Linked DNA regions of Stegostoma tigrinum. The protein of the gene in region 3 binds, or shares a complex with, the protein of the main gene of each other region. Links are inferred from orthologs where the notes say so. Each region holds a gene or a part of one and is shown on either strand. Other genes may lie near its edges.

Region 1 (5,931 bases), on a different chromosome or scaffold from region 3:
TGACAGCTCCCATCTAGAATGACAAGGGCAGCATGGGTCAACATCATGGGTCAAAATCCTGGAATTCATTCCCAAAAGGCATTGTGGGTCTGTCAACAGCACATGGACTCAGTGGTTCACCACCACCTTCTCAAGGGTTATTAGCAATAACGGCTGGCCAGCCAGCAATGCCAACATCCTCTGGATGAATAAGAATAATAATTGTCATTCCTTTACTGCCAAGGCAACAAAGTCGACATGGACTTACTGGTTCATGAACATGGCTCCATACCACCTTCCCAGCGGTAATTAGGGACAGGCAATAGATACTGTCCATCACTCAGATCACCTAAAAGGACTAAAATAAATGAATCAGGGCAGAAATTTCCAACCTTTTAAAAGGGCTGAGTGGTTTAATATCCTGGTGTGAAGAAAGGGATGAATCCCATTAAGCATTGTAAAAATAGTATTTATGGTTTTAATGAAAATCAAGACTTTAAAATTTTAAAAAATATTTGTTTTACATTTGGTCACTATTGATGATGTGAATGAACAAATGCTTCCTTTTTTTTAACTTAGTCCATGTCTGCACTAGACAAAATGCTCAAGGAATATCATACAAATCTATTTAGGTGCCTTTACGGCTATCACCAACAGTAATTTCTCGATAATGGTCGGTGCTCCTGCATTCTCACGATGGAGCCAGAAGTTTCAGCCAAAATTACATGCAGACCTGGGGCGGGCTGCAGCCGTCCTAACAGTGATAGAAACCAGGGCACTTTAAAAGATACAAAAAAACATAGAAATTGCTGGTAAAGCTCAACAGAACTGGAAACATCCGTAGAGAGAAATCAGAGTTAACGTTTCGGGTCTGAGTTCTGAAGAATGGTCACCAGACTTGAAATGTTAATTGATTTCTCTCCACAGATGCAGTCAGACCTACCAAGCTTTTCCAGCAATTTCTGTTTTTATTTCTGATTTCTAGTATCTGCAGTTCTTTATCGGTTTTAATTCACTTTAGACATTTGTCTCTGCCAGGGCACATATCAGTAGGTTTCGGCTTTTCATCCATTCGACTGTAGCAAAACTCAGTTTTTAATTTCTAATTAATTAATCATAACACAAGGTCTTCGAAATGTGCAATATATGGAAGGGATATTTGCTTAGAAAGCTCCATTCTTACAGGAACTGCGTCTCCAAAATGGGCTTTTATCTTAACTAGAACTTAGTCATACGCAAAAATGAACCCCTGGAAAAAAAGACATTGATTTTAGTTCCAGCAACATTATAGAACAGAACAGCTGGCCTCAAGGTTCAAAACACACTTCAGGGTTGACGTTTCGAGAAAGTGGGTGATGGTGCTCTACACATTTTGATCTATAGACTGTAATTTTGAGTGCTTTTTTATGTTTTTACAACACGCGTTTCAAAAGAGAAAGTCATAGCGCTAGTGAAGAACCCGCCTTGTGAATGTTTTAAAAGCGTCACCTCAGCACGCAGCACCTCGCTTTAACAGCGTCGATATAAACCAGGGTTAGACTGCGATGTTTGTGTGACAGGCGATCAGCCGCTGGCTCTACGAGAGGAGACTGAGAGTGTGTGTCTGTGTGTATTTGTGGTATTCCTTGTATGGAAACTAGTCCGGGCTCGAGGGGGAGCGAAGGGGATTGATGAGACTGGTTTCACAGGGCAATTGGAGGAGGGGACTGAGAGTCCAGGACAGTGACGATCACCAGCAGTTTGCACAGCCCCAGGATATATCCCAAACCAAGAAAAAAAACAAAAACAAAACTAAGCTGCTTGGAGATGGAACCCGGGCTGATGGCGGCTCTTCAGATCAGCCGCTAAATGTTATAGTTTGGGATTATTAGAATTTGTTGCTGTTGTGAACCTATTCTTGGAATCTCATCTTCCTGACATTAACTTGGGACAGGCAGATTTATTTTTATTCTGCATTTATTTATTTTCCCTTCCACTTTGTTTTAAAATACATTCACGGTGGAAGATGGCTGCTTGCAGGAGCTCACTCTGTCTAATAGCAGTTATACAGTTGTGCCTGATGCTATCTTGTACATCGCAAGAAAGCTTTCCTCAAGCTAACGAGTAAGTAACAATAACCCGGTTTGCTGCTTGTCCTTGTTGTAACTGTGTGTGCACTGCCCAGTGCTTCTGACTGTGGCCTCTATGCTTGCCAATACGAAGTGTTACACTGTATCTCACAGCGCATCTCTGATCAAACAGATCGCTGTAGAGAGGGGGAACAGAATCTTCCGATGCATTTGCGATCTGGCTAACCGATTACTGATTCAGAGAAGTGTTACCACAACTAAACATTTTCTTGTGCTTGATCTCTCGCCCTCTCTCGACTTCCAGCCCTCTGTTGAACAAAAAAAAAGCAGACCCCTAAAAGTTTATAGTTTGTGAGCACCTATTTAGGCTAAAACGATGGTAATATGTGAATTAGAAAAGGCTGCCATGTTTAATTGGAAATGGGGAGGGGGGGTGGATTGCTGTATTCTCCATTCTGAATTCGGGCAATCACATTGTTCCAATAAACTTGTTGCCAAAGTTAATATAAAGTAAGGCATTTGGGGAATTGCATGGGAACGTTTGGCTTGACTGCTGTCACTGGACCGATGCCGTCAGTTCTTAAAGGAGCCACTACCTTATTCACCAAGAGGTGTTTGACACGTTTTCCTTTGTTTATAAACACAAGGTACAATTATATACTTGCTGCGTCACATGCATGTGATGTTAACGTGCGGTAATAACATTTACAGTCTCCCCCCTCTCCTCCTCTTCACACTGTCCACCCCTCACACCATCCCAAAAGCCAACAAGAAAGTGAAAGAACTTGCAGGACCGGAGTTCTATTAACCAGAATTATAGAAATCCTTGAGGTTTTTTTTAACATGCAATCATTTTCCTGTTTTATTGTTGGTTAGAATAGAATATTTTCAACATTGTTGAAGGAGGAATATTATATTTCTCCCCTCCTCTCCCAGAAGACAAAAGCAGTTCTTTTCATAATCGGTATTTAGTTCATTAAGGTACTGCAGTTAACCCTTTGGGCAATGAAACAGCAGAAACAACCCCCAGGCTTTAATTCTAAGGAGTGGTTCTCCAGTGGAGCAGGTTTATGCTTGAATGTAATGCTGTAACAGGGGCTATGCTGGTTTGGCATGTGACATCTTCCCTACAGTATTGACAGTTCCAGCAGGCTATTTACTTTTAAGAACACAAATTTTGTGCTGCACTTTAGTTGCACGTGGAGACATACATTTCTCAGGCATCTTTGGCACCAAAAAAATCATTTTGATGAGCAAAAAGTAAAATATTGTGTTGGTAGCACTGTGAACCATCTCATTCCACCGCTGAAAGAAACTTCGGACCAGGTGTTTTCTGCTTGAAAGCTATGTGGTATAACTTATTTCTTGGGGTTGTTGCAGAATTAAGTAATTGAACAAAACATGCCTTAAATTGTGAATGATTAAAATGATGAATTTGGTCCATATTTTCTTTATTTGGTCATGGGACATTGTCATCATTCATTGTCAGAGGGCCATTACAAGACAGCCACATTTCTGTAGTACTGTAGTGAAATGTAGGCCAGGCTAGATAAGGATAGCAGATTTCTATTTTTGAACCAGATTTTAAAAAAATTACAGCAGTTGACAAATTTTACATGTTCACCATTACACTTGGTTTTCTCTAATTCCAGATAATTATTGAATTCAGATTTCACCATTTGCCACTGTGACATTTGACCCCAGAACATTAACATTAAACTAATGGTGTTACCACCATGCTACCACCTCCTCCTCCTGATTGTGTGGAATGGTTAAAATAGTTGTATTCCAGACCATAAGGATTGTCTGCTGGTTTCTGCTTGTAAATATAGAAGACAGTGACAATTTCTAGTTTAATTTTGCTGGATTTGATATAATTGTACACAATTGATTTATTTACAACAGTTATATTAATTCCAGTGTGATTGTTCCATTTGATTCAGCAGGTGCAGATTTGTAGAAAGCCTTTCTACATTTTTCCCATTATGAAACATACTCTGCTTCCCTAATTAGTTCACCAGGATAGCTGGCGACCTGTTCTTAGGCTTTTGCTACTTGGGCCCTTACAGTGAACCACTAGGAGGTGTGTGAGAGCAATGCTTGTTGATTCCCTCTGTGCTCTGTGATTTCATTTTGTATGGCAGGACTGATAAAGGCCTGGTGAACAATTACCTGCTCTTCCTCTTGACCATAGATGGCACAGATGTGGCGTTAGAAGGTCAAGGAACAAAATGCAATTTAAATATTTTCATCCTTCGCAGACATGAAAGACAACAAAATTTGTTACTTTTTTGGCTGTTCTTTTAAATCTGGTGGGAACACTACTGTAAAGTCAGTATAAGTAAACCGAGCATATGCAATACATGACTGCCCCACAGCAATGAATTTGGAGTGGGCTTTGAAAGCTGGCTTTGAGACAATAATTTGTATATTTGCAACATCAAATGCTTCAGGCAAGGGCCTTGGAGACTTGACAGTAGCTAACTTCCAGTTTGACACAAGTGGCATATTTCAGGGGCATCAGATGAAAAAGTGCCAAGTAAACCTTGCTCAAAGCAAAAGCCAGTTTCTGTCCCATTAAATTAAGCAGTTTTTCTGAAAAAAGTATTTAAAGGGTTAACATTCTATGTTAAAGAAAGCCTTCAGTGACAGCTGCTTGCCACATGCTGTGCTTAAGTTATCTCAGTACAGTCTTTGGCTTATTATTTACAGGAGGATTGATTGGTTGTTTCCACATGAAATTGTATAAACTTTGACAGTGTGAATGTAAAGAGAGTGTTTGTAGCTAACCACAGATGTTGTGCATTACTAATGCTTGTAGGAATGGGGCCATCACTCTGTCCCTGCTAATTTGCTGCGGTATATTTTTAAACCTGTTAGCTAGCACTGGTGTACAGATCTGTTTTTTAGGAATGAGATCTTCTGCCATTTCTGAGTTGCCTAATTATAGAAGTAGAGAAGTCATCAGCTGGTCTCAACAATCAATGGCGCTGTCTGTTAACCCATTAAGTAGTATAGCAGGTCACCTTTCCAGTCCATTACGTATGTGTGAAATAAATTTGAATGTACATTTAAAGCATTGTTTCTTTTGATACCATGCTATTTTAAAAACTTGTCAAAATTTTCATCTTGTATAGTTTCACTGCAACAACTGAGGGAGTTGTAATGTATTAGAGGTAGGTGTGTATGAATTAAAGATACACGACTAATTAAAAGATAACAGGGAAATGCACTGTGGATTCTTACTATAAATCATCAATAGTTTCAGTATTTAAAGCCATGAACTTTCTACTAGGAGGTATTGCAGAAGATAAATCTGTGCCAAAAGGAAAGTTTTAGGAAAGACTAAATGTTACGTGTAACTATTTCAAAACTAGAAAGTTAACCAAAATAATTTATTTCAAGTTTTGAGAGGAGATAATGGGAACTGCAGATGCTGGAGAATTCAAGATAACAAAGTGTGGGGCTGGATGAACACAGCAGGCCAAGCAGCATCTTAGGAGCACAAAAGCTGACGTTTTGGAGAAGGGTCTAGGCCTGAAATGTCAGTTTTTGTGCTCCTGAGATGCTGCTTGGCCTGCTGTGTTCATCCAGCCCCACACTTTGTTATCTCTATTTCACGTTTTGTTTTGTTTATTTTTAACTTTTGATGATACTGATTAAGGCAAATTTTAGGTTTGAGGTTGTATGGCATAGCTGATCGGAAACTGTTCGGTTATATTTGTGGTCACAACAATTAAAGCAAAACTTGCTTTGTAGAAAGCCTTAAAACAAAACTATTTTCAGATCTCAACCTGATTACTCTCCAAGACTATTGGACTCAGGCACTTCCCTGATTTCATGACTGGTGGCTGTGCCTTTACCCGTCTAGGATCTAAGCACT
Region 2 (5,931 bases), on a different chromosome or scaffold from region 3:
AGCTGATAAACTACAAGGTCCATTCAAATCAAAGCAGGGTTAGTCCAGGATTACAGAAAGATTTAAACAGCATGATTGACGGAAATATGATAGTAAGCAAATGCACCTTCACTCCAAATGTTGCTATTGATCTAACCATAGATGTGAGACTTGGGGTACAACACGCCCAAGTCACAATTATTTGGGGCTCTTGTGGTAGTATCTCTATCTCTGAACCAGGAGGAAGAGTCACCAGATCCAAAATGTTAATTCTGGTTTCTCTCCACAGACACTGCCAGAACTGCTGAGCTTTTTCAGCAATTTCTGTTTTTGCTTCTGAGCCAGGCAGCCCAGTTCAAATCCAAGCTGTTCCAGAGGTGTGTGATAACACACAGTCATGGAGTCACAGAGATGTACAACACAGAAACAGGACCCTTCAGCCTGACTCATCTATGCCCACCAGATATCCTAAACAAATCTGGTCCCATTTTCCAGCATTTGGCCCATATCCCTCTGAACCCTTCCCATCCAGATGGCTTTTAAATGTTGTAATTGTGCCAGCCTGTACCACTTCCTTTGGCAGCTCATTGCATACACGCATCACCCTCTGCGTGGAAAAAGTTACCCCTCAGGTCCCTTTTAAATCTTTCCCCTCTCATCTTCAACCCACACCTCTCTAGTTTTGGATTCCCCTGCCCTGGGGAAAAGACTTTGACTCTTCACCCTATCCATGCCCCTCATCATTTCTCTGAAAGGGGGCTTGGTTACGGTGGCTCAGTGATTGGCACTGCAGCCTCACAGCGCCGGGGACCCGGGCGACTGTCTGTGTGGAGTTTGCACATTCTCCCCGTGTCTGCGTGGGTGTCCTCCCACAGTCCAAAGATGTGCAGGCTATTTGGATTGGCCATGCTAAATTGCCTGTAGTATACAGGGATGTGTAAATTAGGTGGGTTAAAGGGGGCTGGATCTGCTGGGATGCTCCAAGGGTCAACTTGGACTTGTTGGGCCGAAGGGCCTGTTTCCACACTGAAGGCGTTCTATGAGCCTATGAAATACCGACGACACGGTCCAACCAAGCGAAGAGCAGAAAGCGACATGTCTGTTAAACTCTTAATGAACTGTATATTCCGGGCTGCTACCAGGAAGTTATTATGCTGCACAGGATTTCAGATGAAGCTGTAGAGACAGAGACCTTGAAGTAATAATTACATATTGTCACTGACATGGTGCTGACTGGAAGCTTGCTTCACCCCTAAATACCTGGTGAATTATCAGAGAGCCGATGATGCTGAAGGATATGCTTGATAAACCCAGAGACAAGATGCTTGTGTTAAAGTGAGCGAGAGGCTGGAATTCTGTTGATGGTATATTTAACTCCGGGACCGCTCGGATACCTTTACACTCCAGCACCTGTTCCAGGCGTGTTTGCAGTGAGCGGCAGCTTAGTCTAAAATTCTTTTTTAAGGGGTTAGTGCAGCCGGAGGGATCTGCCTGGCTACTCTCACCATCACGTTGATTACAGGGTCTAAACATTCCCGCCGATGCTGAAGATTTTCTGTTTTAAAAAGCCACGGGCAATGTTCTCAGCCGAACTCGAGCTTGTGTCCAATACTCAACTCTCGCCCCGTTCCCAGGCTGCTCGCTGGCATACAGCGTTCCCGGCTCCCTGCACTCTTGGAGGCAACAAAGTGTGGGGCTGGATGAACACAGCAGGCCAAGCAGCGTCAGAGGAGCTCAAAAGCTGACGGTTTCGGGCCTAGACCCTTCATCAGAGAGGGAGATGGGGAGAGGGAACTGGAATAAATAGGGAGAGAGGGGGAGGCGGGTCGAGTAGAGGAGAAGATAGGTGGAGAGGGGAGTATTGGTGGGGAGGTCGGGAGGGGATAGGTCGGAAGCTCTGAAAAGAACTCAGCCTTTGTTTTTTAATTGTACCATTCAATGGACGGAGAGGAGCTGGCCTGGACATGAACCTGCTGGGTCCCGTCTCTATTGGGCCTGCTCCGTTGCAGATTGGTGAAGATTGAGTCCGTTGCTAATACACTATGAAGGCACATGGGAGTTGATACAGAGACAAACACAGATAACATGGAGCAGGAGATAACATAGATCAATACAGGCCCTTAGTGCTGACCTATTATCCTACTCTAAGATCAAACTATCCTGCATTTATTTCACTGTCACCCATGTAATAGTGTAGAACTGGAGCTGAAGAAGCAGGGTCCCGACCCGAAACGCCAACTTTCCTGCTCCTCTGATGCTGCCTGGCCTGCTGTGTTCCTTCAGCTCCACACCTTGTTATCTCAGACTCCAGCAGCGGCAGTTCTTAATGTCTCTACGTGGAGCGGGAGTCGGACCCTCGAGCCTGCTCTGCCATTCATTAAGATCATGACTTATAAGGAGAGGCTGGATAGGCTGGGACTATTTCTCAGTAGCAGGCTGGGAGTTGACCTTATAGAGGCTTATAAAATCATGAGGGGGCATGAATAAGGTCAGTAATCAACGTCTTTCTACTGAGAGTAGGAGGCTCCAAAACTAGGGGTTTACTGTGAAAGTGGAAAGATTTCAAAGGGACCTGATGGGCAACTTTTTCACGCAGAGGGCGGTGCATGTACGGAACGAGCCGCCAGAGGAGGTGTTAGAGGCTGGTATAATTACATTTTTTTAAAAAAAATCGAACAGTGACGTGAATAGGAGAAGGTTTAGAGCGATATGGGCCCAAAGCATGAAAATGGAACTAGTTCAGTTCAGGAAGACCTGGTCAGTATGCACAGGTTGGGCCGAAGGGCCTGTTTCTGTGTTGTATGACTCTGTGACTGATCATCAGTCTGCTCCTGCTTTCTGCACATATCATTTGACCGCTTCAGCTCCAATTGCTATAGCCAATTCCTTCTTAAAATCGTACGATGTTTTGGCCAGTTTTCTGTGACAGTGAATCGATAGGCTTACCACTCTCTCTGGGTGAAGATCTTTTTATCTTTTTATCTAACCAGGATCCTTAGACTGTGAGGCCTGGATCTGGACTTCCCTGTCCTGGGGAATACTTACTCACTATGAATTCCCTCCCTAATGGCATTGTGGGTTTACAGCACATAGACTACAATGGTTCAAGAAGACAACATTCTAAAGGAACAACTAGGAACGGGCAAATAAATGTGGCACTGATGTCCCAGGAGTGAATTAAAAGCGGCATAAAGGACAGTGTATACCCACCTATTACCGTTCACACAACCAGGGGCTGTAGTGACACTGTATGAAGACATACACAATAAGAATCCCTTTATGTTGTAATTTCTGCTCAACTCAAGTGCTGGCCAACTGACCGCGGTAAATTTGGAGAGAAGTTCAGAATGAATTCTTTTCAGACAGAGAGGTAGCTGCAGCCCGCTGAGTTCCTGCCTCAGACCTGGAGTGTGCCTGAGGACAGCTCTCTCTCTTACCTCCTGGCAGGTCGGCATTCCCACAGCCCTTCCCGTCCGGGTCCACACTCCGGACAAAGACCCTCTTCGTGCACAGTTTCCAGAGGCCGAAGTGAGCCTCCTCGCAAGTGGAGTTGGTTCTCTCCAGCCGGGGGCTGAGCCCTGCCCAGTGGTCGGTGCTGACCGCCACAATCGCCAGGATGATACCCACCGCGATCACACAGAAGGTGAGTTTTATCTTGCTTGCTTTACCCTCCTCCATAGTGCTGCGGAAGAGCAGGAAGGTGCTGGTGCTCTCAGCACCTGCACTGACTGACCGCTCCCCGAACCCCCGGGGCTGGTTTCGGGGAGGTTGGGGGGGGGGGGTGGGCGTCTGGTGGCTGGCCAATGCACTCTAGACTGGCCTTGGCACTGCCCAGTTGCTGCTCTCTGTATATGGGAGCCTCAGGTTGACAGAGACCGACGCGTGAGCCATTCTACCCCGGGGGGGGATGTAATTCCATTCCGGGACGATTGTAACCTTCAGGAATGGCGGGGTTGGGGTGGGAGGTTAGTATATGGGATGCTTGCTGAGGGTTTGTCGGGAGCCTCCTCTGCGCCCCTCGTGTGACACGCCTCCCCACCCCCTCACACGCACACTGGCCCCCAAACTTGTGAGTGAATTGGCCCGGCGTTGAATAGCTTTCTATTAGGAGCTGTTCCCGGCCGGGCGCTGCCGTGTGTATATTTATATCACAGTTCCACATTCAAGGAACTGTCAGATTTGAAGGCGACCGCTGGTCTGGGAGTCAGGTGGCCGAGGTCTCCACGGAGAGGAACAAGAATCGCAGTGCTATCTGGGGGAGAGGAGATCTCTGCCCAGTCTCCTCGTCATTCAGTCTGGGACAGTTTCAGGCAGGTCCCACTCTGAATGTCGGACCCACACTCGCCTTATTGTGGAGCTTTCCTCGCCAGCTTGTTGAGGGACGTTGAGACACACCTGTGGACCTGGTGGGACTTGAACCCGGGTTCCTCTAGCTCAGAACTAGGGTCACTACCATGCACCAAAGGAGCCCACACCACCCCGCTCTCCCCCCACCCCACCCGACCCGCTTTATTCTACACTGGGCCAAGCAGCATCTTAGGAGCAGGAAAGCTGACGTTTCGGGCCTAGACACTTCTTCAGAAATGGGGGAGGGAAGGGGGTTCTGAAATAAATAGGGAGAGAGGGGGAGGCGGATAGAAGATGGATAGACGAGAAGATAGGTGGAAAGGAGGGTATAGGTGGGGAGGTAGGGAGGGGATAGGTCAGAAGCTCTGAAAAGAACTCAGCGATAACATGGATCAGGGGATTACATAGAACAGTACAGCACAGTTCAGGCCCTTAGGAGGAGACAGACAAGTTAAAGAGGCGGGGTTGGACCCAGTAGAGGTGAGTGTTGGTGGGGAGGTAGGCAAGAGATAGGTTGCAGTGGGAGAGAGATCCTCTGAGGTTTGTCCGGAGGGAGGAGGGTAACGTCTTCAGGTTAGGCATCCTGAGAAGAGGCTTCGCAGTGAAGTTAAAATGGTATCGGAGATAGTAGGAACTGCAGATGCTGGAGAATCCGAGATAACAGCTCCGTGTGGAGCTGGATGTACACAGCAGGCCAAGCAGCAACTTCCAGCTCTACACCTTGTTATCTAGGATTCTCCAGCAATCTGCAGTTCCTGTTATCTTTTACTCTACACCGCGTCTCCCTACAGTCAGCACCGAGCTGTGTCAACTGCTGACCAGCCCAGCCAGAAAGGGGGGAAGGTGGTTAGGGCTTGTAAGAGTGCCAAGCTGTGAGACTGTTGCCAGCGGGTACCCCGGAGGGGACAGGGTATAGGGAGTGCTGGGGCTTTCATTCATTCAGAGGCTGTGGGCCCCGAGAGGACATGATCCGGGAATAAGCGCAACCCTGAGCTGGGCAGGAGTTTCAGACTCGGTCCCTGGAGGGCCGAGGAGTGGCGCTGGTTTTTTGGCCAAGTCTCATTCTCATTGTCTGTCTCCCCCCCCCCCCCCCCCCCCCCTCCATCCCGCAAACCCCAATGGACCTGCGGTCTCTTCCCAGAGGAGGCTGCAATTAAAAAGGGGAACAGCGTGCACTCCTGGTTCCACAGACTCCCCAGTGCTGACAGAATCCAAACAAAACCTTCCAGTGTAAGGGAGTAAGTGATGAGCTTGCGGGTCATGAACATAGAACAGTAACAGCACAGGCCCTTCGGCCCATGATGATGTGCCGACCTATTATCCTACTCTAAGATAAAATTACTCCGCAACAACCCTACATTTTACTATCCTCCTTGTGCCTATCCAAGAGTCGCTTAAATCTATCTGACCATGTTAAGCTAACTTTGCTCTTGGCCTGTCACTCAAACCCTGCTGCGAGGAAATGCACTGTGATGGACTTTGCTCCCACCCCTGATGGTTTGGCTAATGTGTGTTCCTTGTGTTGTCGTCCCACTCGAGCAACTACCAGACTATCAGTGAACCTTCACACTGCGCCAACTCTCACACGCACCGATTCTCAGCATC
Region 3 (5,931 bases):
TTGGGGTGACAAATAAGAAGTCTCTGCAGGTGATCAAATGTGTTAGATGTGTCAGTAAAATGTCAACAGCTGAACAGCAAGTAAAGGGATGACCTATAATCCAAGTAATTGACATAGAGAGAGATAATTGCAAAAAATGAAAACTAAAACGTGGTGCTGGAGACAAACCAACTGACTGAAATAACATGATAGATATAAGAATTGCATGCTGAGGGTCTATGCAAAGTAATACACAAGATCTGTTCAGATGAGGAGAAATGTGGTGGATACTTAAGTGTTTCAAAAGATGCCCTTATAATAGGCTACGATGCTCAACTCATCCATCGCCAGTTTTGACGTGCCACAGCAAAAAACCATAATGACCTCCTCAGCAGACAGACAGGACATGACTGATAAGAGTACCCTTCATTGTCCTGTACTTTCCCAGAGCAGGGAGGCTACACAAAGTTCTTCACAGCCTTCAACATGTCATCAATGACAACAAGCATCTCGCCAAGATCATCCCTACACCTCCACTTCTCACCTTCAAACAACTACCAAATCTTAAACAGACCATTGCTCGTAGCAAACCACCCAGCCTTCAGGACATCAACCACACCACCACACAAGCCTGCCACAGCAATCTCTGTATGACATGTCAGATCATTAACATGGATACTACCATCACTCATGGAACACCACCCACCATGCACATGGCAGATGTTCACGTGACTTGGCCAACTTGGTCATGTATCTCGTTCGCTGCAGGCAAGGATGACCCAAGGCAATCACCAGACAGGAACGTTCCCTCCCAGTTGGGAAGCACTTCAGCCGTCAAGGACATTCAGCTTCTGATCTTCAGTTAAGGTGTCCTCCAAGGCGACCTTCAAGATACACAACAATGCAGAACTGCCAAGTAGAAACTGATAGTCAACTTCCATACCCACAAAGGCAGCCTTAAACATGATCTTGGATTTATGTCACGCTATACTGGACCCCCAGCACTGACTGTATCTGTAACATCTTCCTGTTTTGACACCATCACCTGGATAAATTGTTATGGCCTCTCAATTAGTTTATACAGTTTTGGATGACTTATTACTTTGGTAAGACACTTGGTGTGCAGCTCTTATACCTGTTGTGTTATTCCAATGACTTGGTTTGTCACCAGCACCACTTTATTTTTAATTTTTTGTAATTATCTCTCTGCTTCATTTAATCGGATTATAGGTAATCCCTTTGCTTGTTATTCAGCTGCTGACACTTCACTCAAACAGTCTAACACTTGCAATTACCTGCAGAGACTTATTATTCAACACTCCACCCAACCATTTGTTTGATCTTTTGATCTTTCTGCTCATAAATTTTGCATTATGTATTTCTCTGTCACTTCACCTGTCGAAGTAGCTGCACTCCAAAAGCTTGTGATTTCAAATAAGCCTGTTGGACTTTAACCTGGTGTCGTGTGATTTCTGACAGAATATCCAGCTTCTGATTTCCAGTGGTCATTGTGCGGGTGGCTGGTCCAAGTCAGTTTCTAATTAAGAAGTTGATGCTGCTGGCTCAGTGATGGCAATACCACTGCATGTCAGTGTAGGTGCTGAAGTTCCTTCTTACTAGTGATTATAAAATTTTATAATCTTAACTGGTCAATAGCAATCAATCGTGCTCTTTTAATGAGCAGCTGAATGTCAAACCTCGAATACCCACAACCTTATGATGCTGATAGGAGAGCGATTAACGAGCCTGATTGCCATGACATTTAAAGAAAAAAAATCTCAATTTCATCTGGCTATAACAAATAACTGATTTATGGCATTAACCCAAACAGAATGCAAAGAACACTTTGTACTATTCTGTTAAAATGAACACAGTTTAAAATATGGTCTATAAACTTATACCAATGCTACACATAATACCAACTTGATACCTAATTTTCCCACACTTCCCTCAGTATGAAAAATGTTTTAGTAATTTTTGTTTTATGAGGCTCGAGAAGATGTATTAATCAGTAATACTTGCTTCAAATGTGCATTTCTTTTCTCTTTTCTCTCGCTACCTGCTCCCACACACAGCTGGGTTAAAAATGTAGAGAATGTTTTGAAAGTTCATTATAAGATCATGACAAATTCTTGGGAGAATTTTATAATCTTAACTGACTTGTAATTGGAGCATTGCTGAAACTTTTTATCTTTGTTTCCTCTTAATGAGATGAAGGCCCTATATCAAAACGTCAGCACTGATGCAGAAACGCATGCCACAATTTAACTCCTTAGAGTGGAGGAAGTCAACATATAAAGTCACCGTCCTCCTTCATCTCTCACTTTTGAATGTAACACAGAAACAATAAGCATTCTCCCCTCATCTGTGCTTCAATGGGCAGAACCTAAGAAATAACTCATACTTTCAGAGATTGATTTCAGAGAATTCAGCAAAACAAAAGGTATTTTTAATGAACATTGTGTTATTGCCATGGAAGGCAAAATGCTTCCATCAGTTCTTCATCAGAAAGCCTCCAAACAGTTGTCCAAACAACCAACACAAGCAATGGATATCAAGTACAAAGGCATAATTGTGAAGGAGACACAGCTGAATTGCTTCTACACTTGTCCTGGAGGTAGGATTTTCTCATGTCTTTGCCCATGTAAACGATAACAGTTTAAAACAATATTTTAGAAAAAAGTTGTTTTAATAACTGCACTTTAGATTTGGATCCAAAATTAGAAGATGATGTCTTAATTGCATTTCTCTCCCATCAAATGTGATCAAATTTATATTACCAACCTTTACAAATACCTAAATACTGATATTTCCCGGTCTTAATTTATCAATAACAGACAGATATCACAATTGTAATAATTTTGCAAATATAAACATAAAAGTAATGTTTAAAATTAAAAGAATAAACGTGCAAAAAACTATATTTGCCAAAATACTATGAAATTTATAGTAACCTTGGCAGTTTGTGTTTTTCCTCAGTTACTGAAATGCTGTAAACATACCAAATTCATCTCTAATTTCCTGATAAAAAAACAAGTCTTTGAATACCTGATACATTATTGCAAAGCAACATAAAAATTTGTTTAGCAAACTACGATTTAACAGAAGTTTCTGGAAAACCTCAGGAGATCGGGCAGCATCTCTGAAGAAGAATAATCAGAGTTAATGTTTCGGGTCTGGTGACCCTTCCTCAGAACTGTTTTTGTTCTTGATTTACAGCCATCTGCAGTTCTTTCAGTTTTTATTTGCTATTCAACAGGGGTCACAATTTTTTATGATGCAAGCAAAACATTAATTTCATAATGCACTATAACAGAAATTCATCAGGTTATTTAAATTGCACTTCTAAAATTCTTCACAGTCTTTGTTTAATATATGGGGCAGCACAGTGGCTCAGTGGTTAGCACTGCAGCCTCACAGTGCCAGGGACCCAGGTTCAAATCCAACCTTGGGCGACCATCTGCACAGAGTTTGCACATTCTGCCCGTGTCTGTGTGGGTTTCCTCTGGGTGCTCCGGTTTCCTCCCACAGTCCTAACATGTACAGGTGAGGTGGATTGGCCATGCCAATCCACCTAGCCTGTACAGCGGTGTGTGCGTTTTTGGGGGATGGGTCTGGGTGGGATGCTCCAAGGGTTGGTGTGGACTTGTTGGGCCAAACGGCCTGTTTCCACGCTGTAAGAATTCTATGCCATGTAGATAAAATTTGTTTAAGAAATGAATCATTTGCAACTATATATAGTGGCTTCATTTTATGCATGCATTATTTTAAAGTAATTTAGAATGATAACAAAAATTTAATCAGTACAATTAAAACATTACGTGTCAGCACCAAAACCTCAGTGTTGCAAAGTAACCTACAGCGAATTAATTACCTTTGAAATGTAGTCACTATAATGCAAGAAATATGAAGCTATTCAGCAAAGGATTCCATGATTAGATTATCTTATTTAAACTTACTTCAAAAGCCTAAACACAATGACAGAGACACAAGAACTTTGAAACTCTAATTCAAATAGAACTATGAGAACTTGTTTGCAAATACACAGAGTTGGGGCCTCAATATACAGTCACATCAAAAGACTGCACACACAACACCTCCTCAATACTGCATTGAGCTGCTAATTTGAATGCTCAAATCTCTATATAGGACTTGAGCCACAATCTTTGACTCCGAAGCAAGGGAGCTACCACTAAGCCACAACCTTAAATTCTCATGAAGTTACAAAAATTGAAGACCGTTATACAGATTTCTTCAATATACCTGTTCGCTAGGTAGGGAACAATATCGATTGAATCGATTTATCACCTTTGTCTGTTCTCCGTCCCCATCTGAAGAAAACCATTTCTGTCACTAAAATCCAGTTCTAACAGCTGTGACCACCCTCTAGAACCTTGCGCCCACCATCCTGACTTTAACTAGATGGCTACTAATCAAAAAATAAACACTAGCAGCATGTGGCAATATTCCGACAGCAGAAAATGACAGTTCAGTTCACCCCGATCTTCATCCCATCTGAAAAACAAGTACTGTAATCACAGTCTCTATTAAGTTCCATCAGCCACTTGTCTGCTTGTTCTGGCCTTCAATGAAGAAGTAAATGCTATATTTGCACAATAAATGTTCCACGTGAGCATTGTGCAGGAATCAAATTCACCTATGCAAACTGTCCTCACTAATATTCATTATTATGGATGCCATTCACATTAGCTGGTGCTCACATCTTATTCTATATGGTTCAAAGAACACAAATGGACCTGGTTTAAAAAAGATCAGTTTCCTCAATAATAAAAATGCAAATTCGGCACTCTGTGAAATTTCAACTAGTACTTCTTCTCAGTATGGGTTCAGTTACAAAAGTAAATTAAATGAGCAATGTCTGGCCATCAGCAGAGTTTTGTTTAATTATTGGCTTCTTTATTACCTTGCAAATGCTAATTCCACAACTACTACTGTTGTAACTACCATCTCCACCATTGACCTTTGAATTGGGTAAGCTGGACATCTGTACCGTGACAATTAGCAACCTCATATTTAACAGCAACCAGGTTAGCTCAGTTGTTAGAACATCAGATTTTGTTGGTTTTTTGGGCTCAAAAAATTGTTCAATTGGCTTAAAACACAATAAATAAAAAAAATGATGTTGCAAGGAACTTCTGGTGCAGTGGTAGCGCCCTACGTTCAAGTTAGGAAATCCCAGTTCAAGTCCAATGTGCCAGGGAATAGATCGCAACATGCCCAAATAAGTTGATTATCCAAACATCAGATCCATAGCATTGATTCAGTTATTCTGATGACCAAAAAGTCATTGGGGCAGAACCAGGTGGAACTGCATGCCTGGAATTATGTTCCAGGTGCAACTGCCTTTGGAGAAAATACCATGGACACCTCCAAGATGATAGGAACCATAGGCATCTCAGTCAGATGTAGTTACAATACAGTAAGCTACCTCACCTTCAGATGAAAAATAGCAGCATCTTGTAGAAGAGGGCATGAATACAAAGCACCTTTCCATTATTTGCAATTTATGGGTAACCCTAGGTAATGTTTTCTCAATTTGTGGCCACTCCATTACCGTGTAGTAGTGATAATAATTGATGACAACTGTGGTGACACATAATAAAACCTGATGTCAAAAAGTGAAATGTAGGTCAAAAGGGGAAAAGTCTAAGGGGCCTGCGCTCACTGCAATTCCACAATCTAAGGGAAGTAACACGTCTTGACTGCATAAAGCCTACCCACCATGAACAAACTCACATCAGGAGCATTATGAAAGATTCTCCATATGCCTGAATGAGTGTAGTTCTAAAACAGAAGACGTTCAAAATCATCCAAGGAGGATGAAACTTGCTTAATTGTGCATCACCTTCAAAACATGTACTCTGCGCTCCTACAGTGCAAACCGTTTACCAGATTCCCTGCAGAAATTTCTCAAGGCTCCTTCAATAACAC

The links.
Region 1: the proteins of voltage-dependent L-type calcium channel subunit alpha-1C-like (region 3) and voltage-dependent calcium channel subunit alpha-2/delta-1 are in contact, whole or in part, in a cryo-EM structure (PDB 8WEA), measured with the Homo sapiens proteins. The link is inferred for Stegostoma tigrinum from reciprocal best matches to the Homo sapiens genes CACNA1C and CACNA2D1. Residues at the interface, in NP_955630.3 of Homo sapiens: Phe147, Pro148, Glu149, Asp150, Asp151, Ser152, Asn153, Ala154, Asn678, Lys1090, Gly1091, Asn1092, Tyr1093, Ile1094, Tyr1096, Gly1099, Val1101, Pro1104, Ile1106, Arg1109, Tyr1156; in NP_001353796.1 of Homo sapiens: Thr170, Asp171, Tyr173, Ile233, Leu235, Gly262, Ser263, Ser265, Lys270, Thr274, Ala327, Lys328, Gly329, Ile330, Glu366, Gln391, His392, Tyr394, Ile416, Gly417.
Region 2: voltage-dependent L-type calcium channel subunit alpha-1C-like (region 3) and voltage-dependent calcium channel gamma-1 subunit-like share a complex: the UniProt entries of both Homo sapiens proteins name them as parts of the calcium channel complex. The link is inferred for Stegostoma tigrinum from reciprocal best matches to the Homo sapiens genes CACNA1C and CACNG1.

Annotation. Positions count from the first base shown.
Region 1 is NC_081378.1:27,353,073-27,359,003, reverse strand, and holds the start of voltage-dependent calcium channel subunit alpha-2/delta-1, read left to right. Parts: upstream 1-1,464; 5' UTR 1,465-1,984; coding exon 1,985-2,082; intron 2,083-5,931. UniProt on the Homo sapiens protein: The alpha-2/delta subunit of voltage-dependent calcium channels regulates calcium current density and activation/inactivation kinetics of the calcium channel. Plays an important role in excitation-contraction coupling.
Region 2 is NC_081375.1:9,587,272-9,593,202, reverse strand, and holds the start of voltage-dependent calcium channel gamma-1 subunit-like, read right to left. Parts: upstream 3,748-5,931; 5' UTR 3,658-3,747; coding exon 3,417-3,657; intron 1-3,416. UniProt on the Homo sapiens protein: Regulatory subunit of the voltage-gated calcium channel that gives rise to L-type calcium currents in skeletal muscle. Regulates channel inactivation kinetics.
Region 3 is NC_081371.1:22,338,797-22,344,727, forward strand, and holds the start of voltage-dependent L-type calcium channel subunit alpha-1C-like, read left to right. Parts: upstream 1-2,323; 5' UTR 2,324-2,451; coding exon 2,452-2,596; intron 2,597-5,931. UniProt on the Homo sapiens protein: Pore-forming, alpha-1C subunit of the voltage-gated calcium channel that gives rise to L-type calcium currents. Mediates influx of calcium ions into the cytoplasm, and thereby triggers calcium release from the sarcoplasm.